Linked DNA regions of Sus scrofa. The protein of the gene in region 1 purifies or fractionates together with the protein of each later gene. This does not show direct contact. Links are inferred from orthologs where the notes say so. Each region holds a gene or a part of one and is shown in the gene's direction. Other genes may lie near its edges.

Evidence for each region. The genes of interacting proteins can lie anywhere in the genome.
Region 2: the proteins of ILF2 (region 1) and STAU1 purify together in Homo sapiens (affinity purification with mass spectrometry; 3 studies listed by BioGRID). This does not show direct contact. The link is inferred for Sus scrofa from reciprocal best matches to the Homo sapiens genes ILF2 and STAU1.
Region 3: the proteins of ILF2 (region 1) and SF3B1 fractionate together in Homo sapiens (co-fractionation; 3 studies listed by BioGRID and IntAct, with this or other methods). This does not show direct contact. The link is inferred for Sus scrofa from reciprocal best matches to the Homo sapiens genes ILF2 and SF3B1.

The regions. Positions count from the first base shown.
Region 1 is NC_010446.5:95,979,372-95,983,687, forward strand, and holds the start of ILF2 (interleukin enhancer-binding factor 2), read left to right. Parts: upstream 1-1,490; 5' UTR 1,491-1,612; coding exon 1,613-1,617; intron 1,618-2,317; coding exon 2,318-2,377; intron 2,378-2,593; coding exon 2,594-2,636; intron 2,637-3,077; coding exon 3,078-3,182; intron 3,183-3,567; coding exon 3,568-3,645; intron 3,646-3,748; coding exon 3,749-3,851; intron 3,852-4,316. UniProt on the Homo sapiens protein: Chromatin-interacting protein that forms a stable heterodimer with interleukin enhancer-binding factor 3/ILF3 and plays a role in several biological processes including transcription, innate immunity or cell growth.
Region 2 is NC_010459.5:50,849,322-50,853,479, reverse strand, and holds the start of STAU1 (double-stranded RNA-binding protein Staufen homolog 1), read left to right. Parts: upstream 1-1,306; 5' UTR 1,307-1,343; coding exon 1,344-1,548; intron 1,549-3,625; coding exon 3,626-3,750; intron 3,751-4,158. UniProt on the Homo sapiens protein: Binds double-stranded RNA (regardless of the sequence) and tubulin.
Region 3 is NC_010457.5:101,335,167-101,339,446, reverse strand, and holds the start of SF3B1 (splicing factor 3B subunit 1), read left to right. Parts: upstream 1-1,428; 5' UTR 1,429-1,730; intron 1,731-4,280. Other genes in the region: COQ10B (coenzyme Q-binding protein COQ10 homolog B, mitochondrial), read right to left, coding at 1,137-1,258. UniProt on the Homo sapiens protein: Component of the 17S U2 SnRNP complex of the spliceosome, a large ribonucleoprotein complex that removes introns from transcribed pre-mRNAs.

The DNA.
Region 1 (4,316 bases):
AGGAGGAGTGGTTAAGGATCCCACATTGACACTCCTGTCAGTCTCGTCACTGCTGCGGCTTGGGTTTAATCCCTGGCCTGGGAACTTCCGCATGCCCTGTGGGGCTAAAATAAATAAACAAGTAAAAAGGAACAAATTGCTGATAAATGCAGAAACATGGAAAAATTTTGAAATGTGCCAAGCAAAAGAAGCCAGAGGAAAAAGAACACATAGGCTGTGAGTCCATTTATGTGAAGAGCAGACGAAACCAATCTACAATAAGAGAAATTGGAATAGTGTTTGCCTCCAGGGGGAGAGCAAAGGCGTATAAGCCAAATTTGTCAGGTGCTAAAAATATTCTTTATGTTAATCTATGCGGTGATTACAAGGGCAGAATACATTATTCAAAAATATTGGAGCTGTAGATTTAAGATCTGTGCATTTTGCTGTAGTAAATAATACGTCAATGTAATACTTAAAAGTTACACAATAGTATATATAATTCTAGAGTCAGTGTGGTAAATTGAATTAAATTACTCCTGCATTTTTCACGAGGAGGGTAAAATTAGACTCTGCCCTTTCAAGGAGGCACGAAATTTTTAGGGTAACCACTGAGGGAGCAGAAAAAGTGCGTAACTTTCTATTGACAGAGGCAGGGAAGGAATAATAAATATTAGTCAGTGAAAAAGAAGGCAAGAAGAGGGAGAAACAGGACAAAGAGCAACTTGTAATATGATTGATTTAAATGCAACAGCAGTTTATCCTTATATGTGGCTGTGAAGCTTCGTTTAAGAGTAAAATCCACCAGGGAGGTTGCCGAGTGAGGAAAGGAGAAATGAGGGGATACTGGGCAAGAGGGATGGGTCTGGTCTTTTTCTCCAGTCATTTCCGTTGTTCTCTTCATCTGAACTCTCTTTCCTGAGGCTGTCTCAGTTTGCCTTCTAGCCCCTCCACATCAGTATTTCTCCTCTCCGATTCAATTATTATATTCAAATCCGCTTCTCCTGCCTCAAGTTTCTAGTCTCTGTGAACTACATCCAGACGTGTAGTCATAGTTGCCTAAGTCCCTTCCTATTCCATTTCGCCTGCTTGCGCCATTTGCCTGCTTTTGGCAAAAATTAGCTTCTAAGGAGGAAAACATAGGAGTGCGGTATTTACATCTACTAGAAAAACAAGAGTTTCTGTCCTGGAGTGGGAAGGAGGGGGGAAAAGAAAGAAAAGCTCTCCTAGCAGAGGATGGTTTCGATCCATCGACCTCTGGGTTATGGGCCCAGCACGCTTCCGCTGCGCCACTCTGCTAGCTCGGCAAGATATTTTTCAAAAATCGTATAGAAAGTTCTCTGAGTGTTAGCCAACCTGATTGCTCTACACCATGCCCCCTGGTGTCCGTAAAAAAAAGTCTTTCCTGTCAAGTCCTTTCTTATTGGCTGGTCCCTGACATAGTAGGGGCTTTTTATTGGTTCATAAACCCGGTTTGCTGAAGTGAACCAATAGGCATAAGTGGTGCAGAACGGCGGGAGCCAATCACGCCGGGGTTTGTTGGCATACGCCGGCAAGCCGCCTCTCCAGTTGAGGGCTTCTCGGAGGAAAGGGGCGGTTGGTGTGGCCTCCATTGTTCGGACTTTGGGACGCCATGAGGTAAGGGTCGTGGGGTGCTCTGGAAGGGTTTCGAGTATTCGACCAAAAACTTTGGGTACGCGGGCTGAAAGGACTCGGAGGTCTTGAAGGGCCGTGTATCTGGGGGCTGCACGGAAATCTGAGAACTCCCGCTTGGGAGCGTGGGGGAAGTCGGGGGCCGCGGAGGCGGGGAAACGTGGGCCAGGGATGGGGGTGGGGCCCAGGCAAGGGGAAGCGGGAGCGGGGGCGGTTAGATGAGGGGCTGTCCTCACCTCCCAGGAGGACCACCTCCCCACCCCGACCACCATCTAGACTGAGAAGGCTTGAACGTGCCTCGTTCATACTCCAGGCTAAGTGCTTGACGTATAGGGTTGCCGTTAGATGCTTTTACTAGTTACGAATAAATGAGCAATCTCGTTAGTCTCTGAAGTATTAGGGCTGGCGCGCCCCGGGAATTATGGGGCATTTCTTGTAGGGCTCACTGAACCTCGTCAGTATTTGATGTGATTAAATTACCCAGAAGGAGGCGGTCTTGGGGGTTGAGGCTGGGCGCTTGGGACGGATGGAGAGCAAGTGTTGTCAGTGGGAATGGGATCTCTTAGCTTCCAAACGGAAGTTCACGGAGATGGCGGTAAGCGAACTTGAAATCATATGGCCGGTATGGTGGAGGTCGTTTCAACGCGGTGAGAACCAAGTTAAAAATGTATTTATGCATTTCTAGGGGGGACAGAGGCCGTGGTCGTGGCGGGCGCTTTGGTTCCAGAGGAGGCCCAGGAGGAGGGTGAGTGCCAGTTTTTAGCATCTCTGCACACTTAGTTTCCATTTCAGTCACCTAAATGGGGTGTTTGGAGCGGACTAATCTTACCTGCTTTTGTGAGCTCCAGCTGTGGTTTAGAAGCATTCTTTCCGTGCTCTCCTAAATGAGAGTTCTGGCCCCTTTATGCTAAAACCACTTGATTTCTGTGGTGAATAATTTGACTTGTTTTTCATTTTTTAGGTTCAGGCCGTTTGTGCCACATATCCCATTTGATTTCTATTTGGTGAGTACCTTGACCGCAGTTCACTTGTTTCCTGGAGCCTAGGGTCTCCCTGTTAATAAAGTCAAATGGTGGTTGGAGTAGGAAAGGGGGTTAGTGAGTGGGATTGGGTTTTGAGTCAGCCTGTATTGCTTTACATACAAAAGCAGTGTAAACTGGGTGGGGAACATAGTTCCTTGACTACAGTTGGTAGTAACAGGATTAGAATCTTTGTTTTGAACAGTTAATTGTATCTTTGGTTTATCTGTTAATGTAACGGTAGTGAGAGCTTAAATTATGGCTCTTCTAGTTTCTATGCTTGTTTAAATATTTTATGGAGTTAAAAATAAGTGTTTTAGAATTTTCTCTTTTCAACTTTTTTTTGTTTTGTGGCAACAGGAAAAAACAATCTTTATTTTATGTTATTTTTGGTGGGTAGTATAAAATTGTTTATTTCTGGTTTAGTGTGAAATGGCCTTTCCTCGGGTCAAGCCAGCACCTGATGAAACTTCCTTCAGTGAGGCCTTACTGAAGAGGAATCAGGACCTGGCTCCTAATTCAGCTGAGCAGGTATATTCTGTTAGTTTTCCTCCTGAGATTTCACGAATGAAGTAGAGAAGTAAATAACTACTGGTGCCGTTACACTTATCAGAGCCTGCCCTCCCCAGAGGGTTTAATTGTTCTCCTTATTTCTCACTGTGGGTGGAGGGAGAGCACCAGGGATGATATAAACAAATTATGTGTGCATTTATATTTTTACTGGGGCATCTATCTTTGGATCAAAGTTTTCTCTTCTGGCATATTCAAAGCCAGAAGGGTCCAGAGTGTTTTCAGAGTCCGTTGTAGGTACTGATTGAGCCTGTATTGCAGGGATTAGGGGAAAACATTCAAACTTGATGAGAAGTTGCTTATCATGTTTCACCTTTATGGTATTTTTGTTTCCTGCTGTTTTCAGGCCTCTATCCTTTCTTTGGTGACAAAAATAAATAATGTGATTGACAACTTGATCGTGGCTCCAGGGACATTTGAAGTGGTGAGGTTTTGATGATTTAGTCCTAGGGAAGGGTGGCCTTGGTAGTGTGGAAGTTGCCTTGCTTGGCTCTAAGGTTTTTCTTCTGAAATTCTCTCTCCAACAGCAAATCGAAGAAGTCCGACAAGTTGGATCATATAAAAAGGGAACGATGACTACAGGACACAATGTGGCTGACCTGGTGGTAATCCTAAAGATTTTGCCAACACGTGAGTGTGCCTTTCCCTGGCCTTGGAAACAGAACATATTTGGGTTTGAGGTATAGGGATCTTTAAAGCCCATGTATCTTGTGTGAAAGGCTGTTTAGAAGACAGGTGGGAAATATATTTATTTTGGCGGGTGGGAAAATTTTTTTAATGTGTCGTATCTGAAAAAAAGTATGGCCAGTTACCAAAGGGCAGTGTGTCTCAACTGAGGGTGGTTTTGTTCCCCCATTTGGCAGCGCCTGGAGGTGTTTGGGGGCTAATGTTTTTGGGTAGAGCTCAGGGTCACCTCTAAGCATTCTACAGTGCACAAGACAGACCCTCCCTTCCAACCCCAAACAAAGAATTATCTAAGCCAAGAGGGCATTAGTGCCACTGCAGAAAAAGATGTGTGTGCTGGAGGGGATGTCCTATTCCCTGAGCCTTCCAGTTTCTCTGTCCAGGTGTTAACTTTCCCTTGTTCCAGCAGAA
Region 2 (4,158 bases), on another chromosome or scaffold:
CAGTGAACAACTACAGTATTGGGGAATTTTGTGGTATAAGGTAAAGTTTATGCTTCTACTAACCAAAGTCATATTTTAAGACTTTTGTTTGTCTTGTTTTGAGTTTTATGGTTCTTTTTTTTCTCAGCAAGAGAGAATGTGCCAGGACTTCTCAAGTAACTTAATGGCTCTGGTCATTCATGTCTTTCTAGAGGTTCAGCTTTAATTAAAAATCATTTTGAGACTTAAAAAAAAGTTAAAGTAACAAAAATTACCCTGTAATAGATGTGTTAGTTTGCTGCTTTCTGCTTGGTTGGCTTTTTCTGTTCTTTGTTGCTTGTTATTTTTTAGTACTTTTGACTTAAACATTTTCAGCTTTTCGAAGGATGGCCATGAAAATATGCAGAACTGCCCTTATTTTTGACTCATGAATAAATTTAAATGTCTTTAGATGCAAGGCCTTTGGAAGATGCTGTAAACAGTCTCCTCTGTTCCTCAGGCTCTACCCGCTACCAGTAGAAAAATTGCCAGTCTGAAATCTTTTCCTCTCTTCTTCATCCTCTCCACTTTTGCTTTTAATAGTACAAATACTATAGAATGTTCTTTCCTATTCAGATAATTTCTCAGGGTCATGAGCATTGATGTGGGTGCCTCAGTTCTTGTTTGGGGCCTATAAATAAATATGACCATCTCAAACAAACCTCTCGTGAAAACAAAGAGATCTTTATCATCATAAGGAAAAAGAAACAGCAAACGTGAGGAATTCCTCTCTTTCTTCAGTCAACTTAAAGGAAAGCTCTCAGGGTGCCAGCCTAAGTAGTTGGCCCTAAAATGGAAGCAGTATTTAATCACCTGTTAATGGTGTTACCAATCCATTTTGCTTTCAGCTTCTTATCATTTTGAGATCAGAAACCTTTACTGTATTGCATATATAATAGAAAACTTATTCATATTTTTAAATTTGCATTTTTGAATATAAGCTGTGGTTTATGATTCTTAATATTCAACAATAAATATTATACCCTGCTGGTTCTCTTTGTAAAATAAACATGCAGAGCGTGTGGGTATTATAAGTTGTTTAAAAACACTATGAGAAAGTCATAAGGCTAGTGAACCTACCATATAACAAGGAGAAACACATTTCTAATACATCAACATAGCTACCTACTAAACGGGGCTATTTTCATACTTGAGTAGGTGACACCAGTTTTGACTGAATATTGGCAATTACGTATCTCCTCTATAATTTATCTTTTTATTTTCTTTCCCTACAACTTTCAGGTAGAACTTTAGACTTCATAGCACTGAATTAACCTGCACTGAAAGCTGTTTACCTGCAGTTGTTCACTTTTTTGAAAGTGACCATGTCTCAAGTTCAAGTGCAAGTTCAGAACCCATCTGCTGCTCTCTCAGGGAGCCAAATACTGAACAAGAACCAGTCTCTTCTCTCACAGCCTTTGATGAGTATTCCTTCTACTACTAGCTCTCTGCCCTCTGAAAATGCAGGTAGACCTATCCAAAACTCTGCTTTACCCTCTGCATCTATTACATCCACCAGTGCAGCTGCAGGTAAGCGTATGACTCCAAGTGTCTTCTGTTTCAAATGTTTTCTTAGCCTGTGTTCTGATCTGATAAGTAGATTGCAGATGTAGGGAGCTCTCACACATTTATCTTCAGGAAGCAGAAGAAAGTATTACTGCCCACACTTCTTTATCCCAGATATGAAACACTTGTTTGTATATTGGGTTGATGGAGGCCTTGGACAGACCATTTTGAAGTGTGAGAAAGAAAATTGGAAACTAAACTATAAAGTTTACTGTGTTATAAAGTGGTGGATGGCAGAAAGAATTGAATAATAAATACTACTTTGGATATTCATTACTATATGGGAAAATTTCTGCTTTTAAAGTTATTTCCCAGAGGAGTTCCCTGTTGTGGCTCTCGATAACAAATCCAACTAATATCTGTGAGGACACGGGTTTGATCCCCGACCTCGCTCAGTGGGTTAAGGATCTGGCATTGCTGTGAGCTGTGGTGTAGGTTGCAGATGTGGCTTGGATCTGGCGTTGCTGTGGCTGTGGTATAGGCTTGCAGCTACAGCTCCGATTTGACCCTTAGCCTGGAACTTCCATATGCCGCAAGTGCAGCCCTAAAAAAAAAAAAAAAAAAAAAAATTTATTTCCCAGAACTGACTTGTAGGTGTAAGCCTCCTTTTTGGATATATATAAGATTTATCCCAAGCATGGGAGCAGCCAGATTTACTGGAAAGCAAAAGTGTGTTACCATTCATTAATATTTATTTTGAAAAAGTAAGTTTAAGTTGAGGTTCCAGAGGTAGTTACGAAATCATAGTGTGGACCAATTAGAAATGGAACAAAGAAGCAGAGTTTTTTGGTTTTTTTGGTTTTGGCTGGAGCATGCAGCTGCTTGATGTGGGATCTCAGTTCCCAGAGCAGGGATTAAACCCAGGCCGTAGCAGTGGAAGCACCAAATCCCAATCACTGGACCACCAAGGAACTCCCAAGAAGCAGAGATTTTTTTTTTTTGAAAGGAAATAAGTTGAGAAGCAGTCATATTTGAATATTAGGAAATTAAACCGAACTAAATACTCTCACTCATCAGAAAGGATATGACACCTCTGAAAAAAGAACCTCCTGAAAACAATATTCTGCTTCCCAAACCTCCCCTGCCTCCGCCGAAGTTGCAACACCAATTAAATGGGGTATCAGCATGGGTGTCTCTATATTAGAGTCACCTTCTAACAAATTCTTTTCAACTCAATATGCTTGACAGTTTCGCTTGCATTTCCTCCTTCATCCTCTCATTTTCTTTACTTTTTAAATCTGTTCTTAGAGCGTTACCTTGTCCCACTCTCATCTGCATGGCATCTATCATGCTACCTCTAGACTTCCTTGGACTGGCTCACCAAATAGCATTCTTACCTTGTTATAGTCCCCTAAAGAGTCAGTGTTCCCCAGATTTGCCATTTGAATGCCATCTTAATAGGAAATGGCACAGACTATTTCAGTCCTCTGGGATTTATTGCTGTTTCTTCTCATGTGTTCTTATATCCACATTTTGTTAATTTTATAAAAGTCCTGTCTGCCAAAGCCATTTTATTTTTCTTGTATAATTGTCAGAAATAGATAAAGCCTGAGGATGGCAGCCTCTGGTGATAAGACTAGAGGACGTACCAAGAATGAGAAGTTAGCTGTGTGGAAAACGACAGTCGTTGTTTGAGAAATGGTATTGGCATGTTGCGTTTTGTGAAATAACGAACAGGGTACAGTTGACAGCTGTTGTGGTAACCAGTGTGTGTGTGTCTCTGCTCAAAAGATCTCCTGGTTATTCCTTTGTGTATAATAGCAGTGCTTCATCTGATTTCAAATCTTGCGTGCCTGCCATAATTTAGTTATTCCTCTGACTTCTGTTCTCTCTCTTTTGAAGACACACCCTCTCCTAGGTTACCGGGCTTCAACTGGTTCAGAAAAGATCTGGCTGTGTCTTCAGACTGTGCCCCCAGTGTGGTTTGCAGTTTTGCATCACGGCTGCTCTGAATCCTTAGACCTTCATTTTTCATATCCCTGGTAGAGCCACAGTCTTATATGCTACTAGTTGACTTCAATGCTCTTACATTATTTTTCAGTTCCTTCTAATATGGCACACCCCAAAGAGAAAACCCCAATGTGTCTTGTGAATGAGTTAGCCCGTTTCAACAAGATTCAGCCTGAGTATAAGCTTTTGCGTGAGCAAGGTCCAGCTCACTGTAAGGTAAATATTGTCCATACTGCTTGTGCGTTTATAACCCACTAGGAATGTTTTCTTTCTTTTTATATAGTTGCAAGTGGTGCTCTGATTCAAAATACGTATTTTTTAACTGCTGAGGTTGTCTGAAAGAGATGCAAAAGTACAGATTTTTGGCAAGTCGCTTCTTTTTTCATCTTTGCAGAATGGGTCAAAGAAAAGATAATGCATCTTTTGGGGGATATTTGGCTTTTAAAACTCCAATTAGTGTGTGGTTGTTTAAGATTCTGAATAGAGACAATTCCCAAGTACCTGCGAATGATTTCCTGTGAGTTTTACAGGCTCCGAGCCTCCTGGCTACAGCCTTCCTCTGGCTCCTTTCCTGCTTGTTTGCACGTGCACGTGTACCTTAGACTGGGCAGGGAGAGCAGGTGA
Region 3 (4,280 bases), on another chromosome or scaffold:
TTATTTCCAAAGGTAATGTAAGATAAGTCAATGAAAATGGTTAACTAAATGCTGCATGACTGTGGAAAAGGATCAAATACATGAACTGTATGAATGAACTTATCCCGTAGATTCATCTCTTAGACTAAGGGTGTCATGTGTTCCTGAAAATCCTTAAAAATATGTTCAGTGAATTTTAAAGGTAGTAATAATACTAACAACATTTTCTGAGTAAACTCATACACTTTGCTTTAAAGTGGTAGTATACCAATAAAAATTAGTAATAGTTACTCTGCTAAATGAAGCAGAACAGTAGAAATAAAATAAGCTACTAATTTGGCTTGTTGGTATTTAAAAAATTTATTGAATCTAAAAGTTCTGGAGCGAATCCAAATTTGTGCCTTCTCTCTCCACCCTGTACAGTTTACAACTGGAATTCATGTTAAACGTTAATTTTAATTTTCGAGCATAATGTATTAAAATGTCATTAATAAATGGAAACTACGCGGTCTAAGTATGGAATCCTTCATGTCTCCACCTCCATCACCTAACAAAAAAAACCCAACAACCAGGAAAAGTGAAGGCAGATTCTGGCTCAAGGTGTTACAGGATCGCTAAGCTCCAACAGCACGGAAAACAAAATCCACAAGTCCCCTATTTCGGCTTCAATTGAGTTTAGCAAGCACCAAAGGCCGGGGGCAAAAACTGTTAACAAGAAACTGAGAAAGCAAGTCTGGCCATTGGGCACGCTCACCGCCAGGCAACAAACTCCCACAAACCCATCAACTCGCAACTCTGGCGCTGCAGTTAACTTTCCGAGAGCAGCATAAGTAGGCCCGGAAGAGCCCAAAGGCACCTCCGCGGAGCTGCTTTATCAGCTGCTTCTAAAGTCGCTAGGCGGATGATTCACCGCCTCTCGCGAGGGCAACGAACTACAAACAGACGGGGCATCCGGAACAGGCCAGCGAGCCTCAGCCCAACGCGGGGGGGCGGGCGGGGAATGCGCGCGGCCCCAAAGGCAGCAGACCTACCCTTTCTCTCCAGAGACCGGGAAACTCATCGGGCTCGCCTATTTCACCCCAAATGACCCCGGTCCCTTTGCTCGGCAAGGCTGGGCGGAAAACTACCCCCAATGCGGCGAACCCATTGTTCATTACCTGATGTTCCGCGGAGGCCCCTGCGCAGGAGCCGGGACTCCGGTCGCTGTCGCCGATTTTGGACGGCATCCCGAGACCACCTTTCTCAAGGTTCTCTGGCCTGTCCGAGCTGCCACAAACATCTTACCGAAGCCGGTGCGCCTCTGGGACCAGGCAGACGGCACCGCCCTCCTTCCCGGGGCCCGACCTTCCCGGCGCCGGCGCCTTCCAGCCAATCGGCGGGCCCCCTGAGCCGCCAGACACGCCCCTTCTCCCTCCCAGATTGCGCAGAGCTGACGCACATTCCCACTGCCGCAGGGCGTCCTGTAAACGCGCTCGTCATCCTTCCTGCCAATCAGAGGGGGCGTAGGGCCATCGGTACCCACCTCTTTCCGCCGGCCACTCTCTAGTTCCTGCCGCGCGCTTGGGCGCCTTACGTAAGGTCCACGGTGACCGCTCACCCCCCTTCCCGCGCTGGAACTCTTCCCCGGATTCGTCAACCGCCGCGGTTCTCTTGGGTGCTGTTTCCGGTCGTGAGGCTCGCCACATGAGCGCAGCCCGGGGGCGGGAGGAAGCCCGAAATTCTAGGTGTTAGTTATGTAACTATCCAAACCGGTGAGTGCTGGGTCGGACCTGCCATCCCTGCTGGCCGTCAGTCTTGTTGTTAATGATTGTCTAATACAGTACCTGCCGTGCTTACCCAGTGAGGTTGGTGTGAGGGCAGTGTAAGGCCATGTCGTTAGGAAAGAGACTCGGGGGCGTTTGCTTTCTGCCTGTGTAGGCAACATTTTAATTGGTGTTCGTATGTGATAATGCTTTGTGCAGTTGAAATCCGTTGCTAGAAAGCATATTAAGCATTTTCCAGTACAACACAGGAGGTTCTTGTCCATTGAGGTGGTTCTGAGCTGCATCGAAATAATCCAATATCAGATTACTTTCGAATACCCAGTCCCTGCTCTTCTTGTCTTGAACTTTAAATATTGCCTCAAACATATTGCTTTAAAACACGTTTTAAAAAGTTTTATTGAAGTATAGTTGATTTACATTAAAACACATCTTAACCGTATTACTCCCCCACTCAATACCCCAGTGGTTACCAGTTGTCTACAAAATACAGGCATTGCACTAGGACATCCTACTGACTCCTATTGCAAACTACTGGTATTGTTAACTAGAAGGCCTGTTAACATTTTCAGTGCAAGACATGATGTACTTGTGTACTTAATATAAGGCTTTTTTTTTTTTGGACTTTTTAGGAATATGGAAATTTCCAGGCTCGAGGTTGAATCAGAGCTGCAGCTGTTGGCCTCCGCCACAGCTACAGCAACCCACTGAGCAGGGCCAGAATCAAACTCATATCTTCATGGATACTAGTCGGATTCATTACCGCAGAGCCACAACGGGAACGCCAAGGCCTTCTTTTGTTAAATCCAAAATTTTCTCACTGAACTCTTCCCAGACACAAGAAAATATCTATTGAATTGAGTCACCCAATTGAATAGTTTACCAATTAAAACTTATAAGGCAAATAAAGGAATTTTTGTAATAGATGACAGTGTAGAGTACTCATTTGACTTCTCAGCAAAGGAAAGAATAATATAAACTTAAAGGTGATAATAAACTCTGGTTGAGTTTTAGTAGATGACAGTGCTTCCACAAATGGGGGCTAAAAATCTGTCTCTACAATAGGAGAAGATTGGTAGTAAATTGAAACTCAGCAGAGACCTGTGGGAAGCAGTATGTTAGAGTCCAAACCAGTTATGCTGCCAAAAATATATTTGATACAACACCACCTATTAAGTATTCTTGACAAAATAATTGAATCTGAATCTGGTCAAGCTTTTATGTTACACCAGTTTAAACAAGGAATAGAACATATTAAATGGTACCAAGAGGATACAACCTGCCAAATACAGAATATGGAAAATTCTGTGGGACAAATGACCTAATTTCATCAACAAATGTCAAGTAAAGGAGAACTGGGGGTGAGGAGACTGCTGAACTTTCCAAGATTTAAGAGGCATTATTTGGGTTTTGTTTTGAACAAACTATATATAAAAAGACATGCAGTGAGTTCCAGTTGTGGTGCAGCAGAAACAAATCTGACTAGTATCCATGAGGATGCATGTTCAATCCCTGGCCTCAATCAGTGGGTTGAGGTTCTGGTGTTACCATGAACTGTGGTGTAGGTTGCAGACACAGCTCAGATCCCAAGTTGCTGTGGTTGTGGCATAGGCCAGCAGCTGAAGCTCTGATTTGACCCCCAGCTTGGGAACTTCCATATGCCCTAAAAAAAAAAAAAAAAAAAAAAAAAAAAAAGGCATATACAAAACTGAGAAATTCAGCTAAAATATCTACTTTAATAAAAATCGATACTGAAGATTTTACGGGTACAAATGAGGTTTGTGATTTGCTTTTAAATAATCTAGTGGGGGTGGAGGAATAGAGTGTATGAAACAAAATTGATCATTTGTTGATAATTATTGAAATGGGTGTGGGTAATTGGGAGTTTATGGTAGTGTTATATCTAATTTTTGTGGATGTAAGCATACACATACATTTACTTTCTGCCTTTCATGTGATTGTTCCAAGTGAGATTTTCATTATTAATGTCCATTAGAATTATACTTTTTTTGACCTTTTGCTTACTTCAGAATCCTGCATATAGATTGAACAGAACCAGAAAGGCTTCAGGTAAATAGAGATGGCTATGACTTTGTGTTACAGTTTTTAATCAACCTTCCAGTGAAAACAAATATGGAGGAGTTCCCGCTGTGAAATGGGATTGGTGGCATTTCTGCAACACCAGGACTTAGGATGTCTGGCCTAGCACAGTGGGTTAAAGGATCTGGCATTGCCATAGCTATACAGTCACAACTGCTGCTCAGATCTGATCCCTGGCCCGGGAACTCCAAATGCCAGCAGAGTGGCCAAAAAACAAAACAAAGAACCAAAACCAGATTGAGGATGAATTTTAATGACAGAATAAGACCTTTAAACATCATTTATGTTTTTTTCCCTGAAATAAAGGAAGCTTTCAAAATTAACATAATCTCATTTCTGGCACCTTCTTTTTTTTTTTCTGTCTTTTTGCCTTTTCTAGGGCTGCTTCCCGCAGCATATGGAGGTTCCCAGGCTAGGGGTCTAATCAGAGCTGTAGCTGCC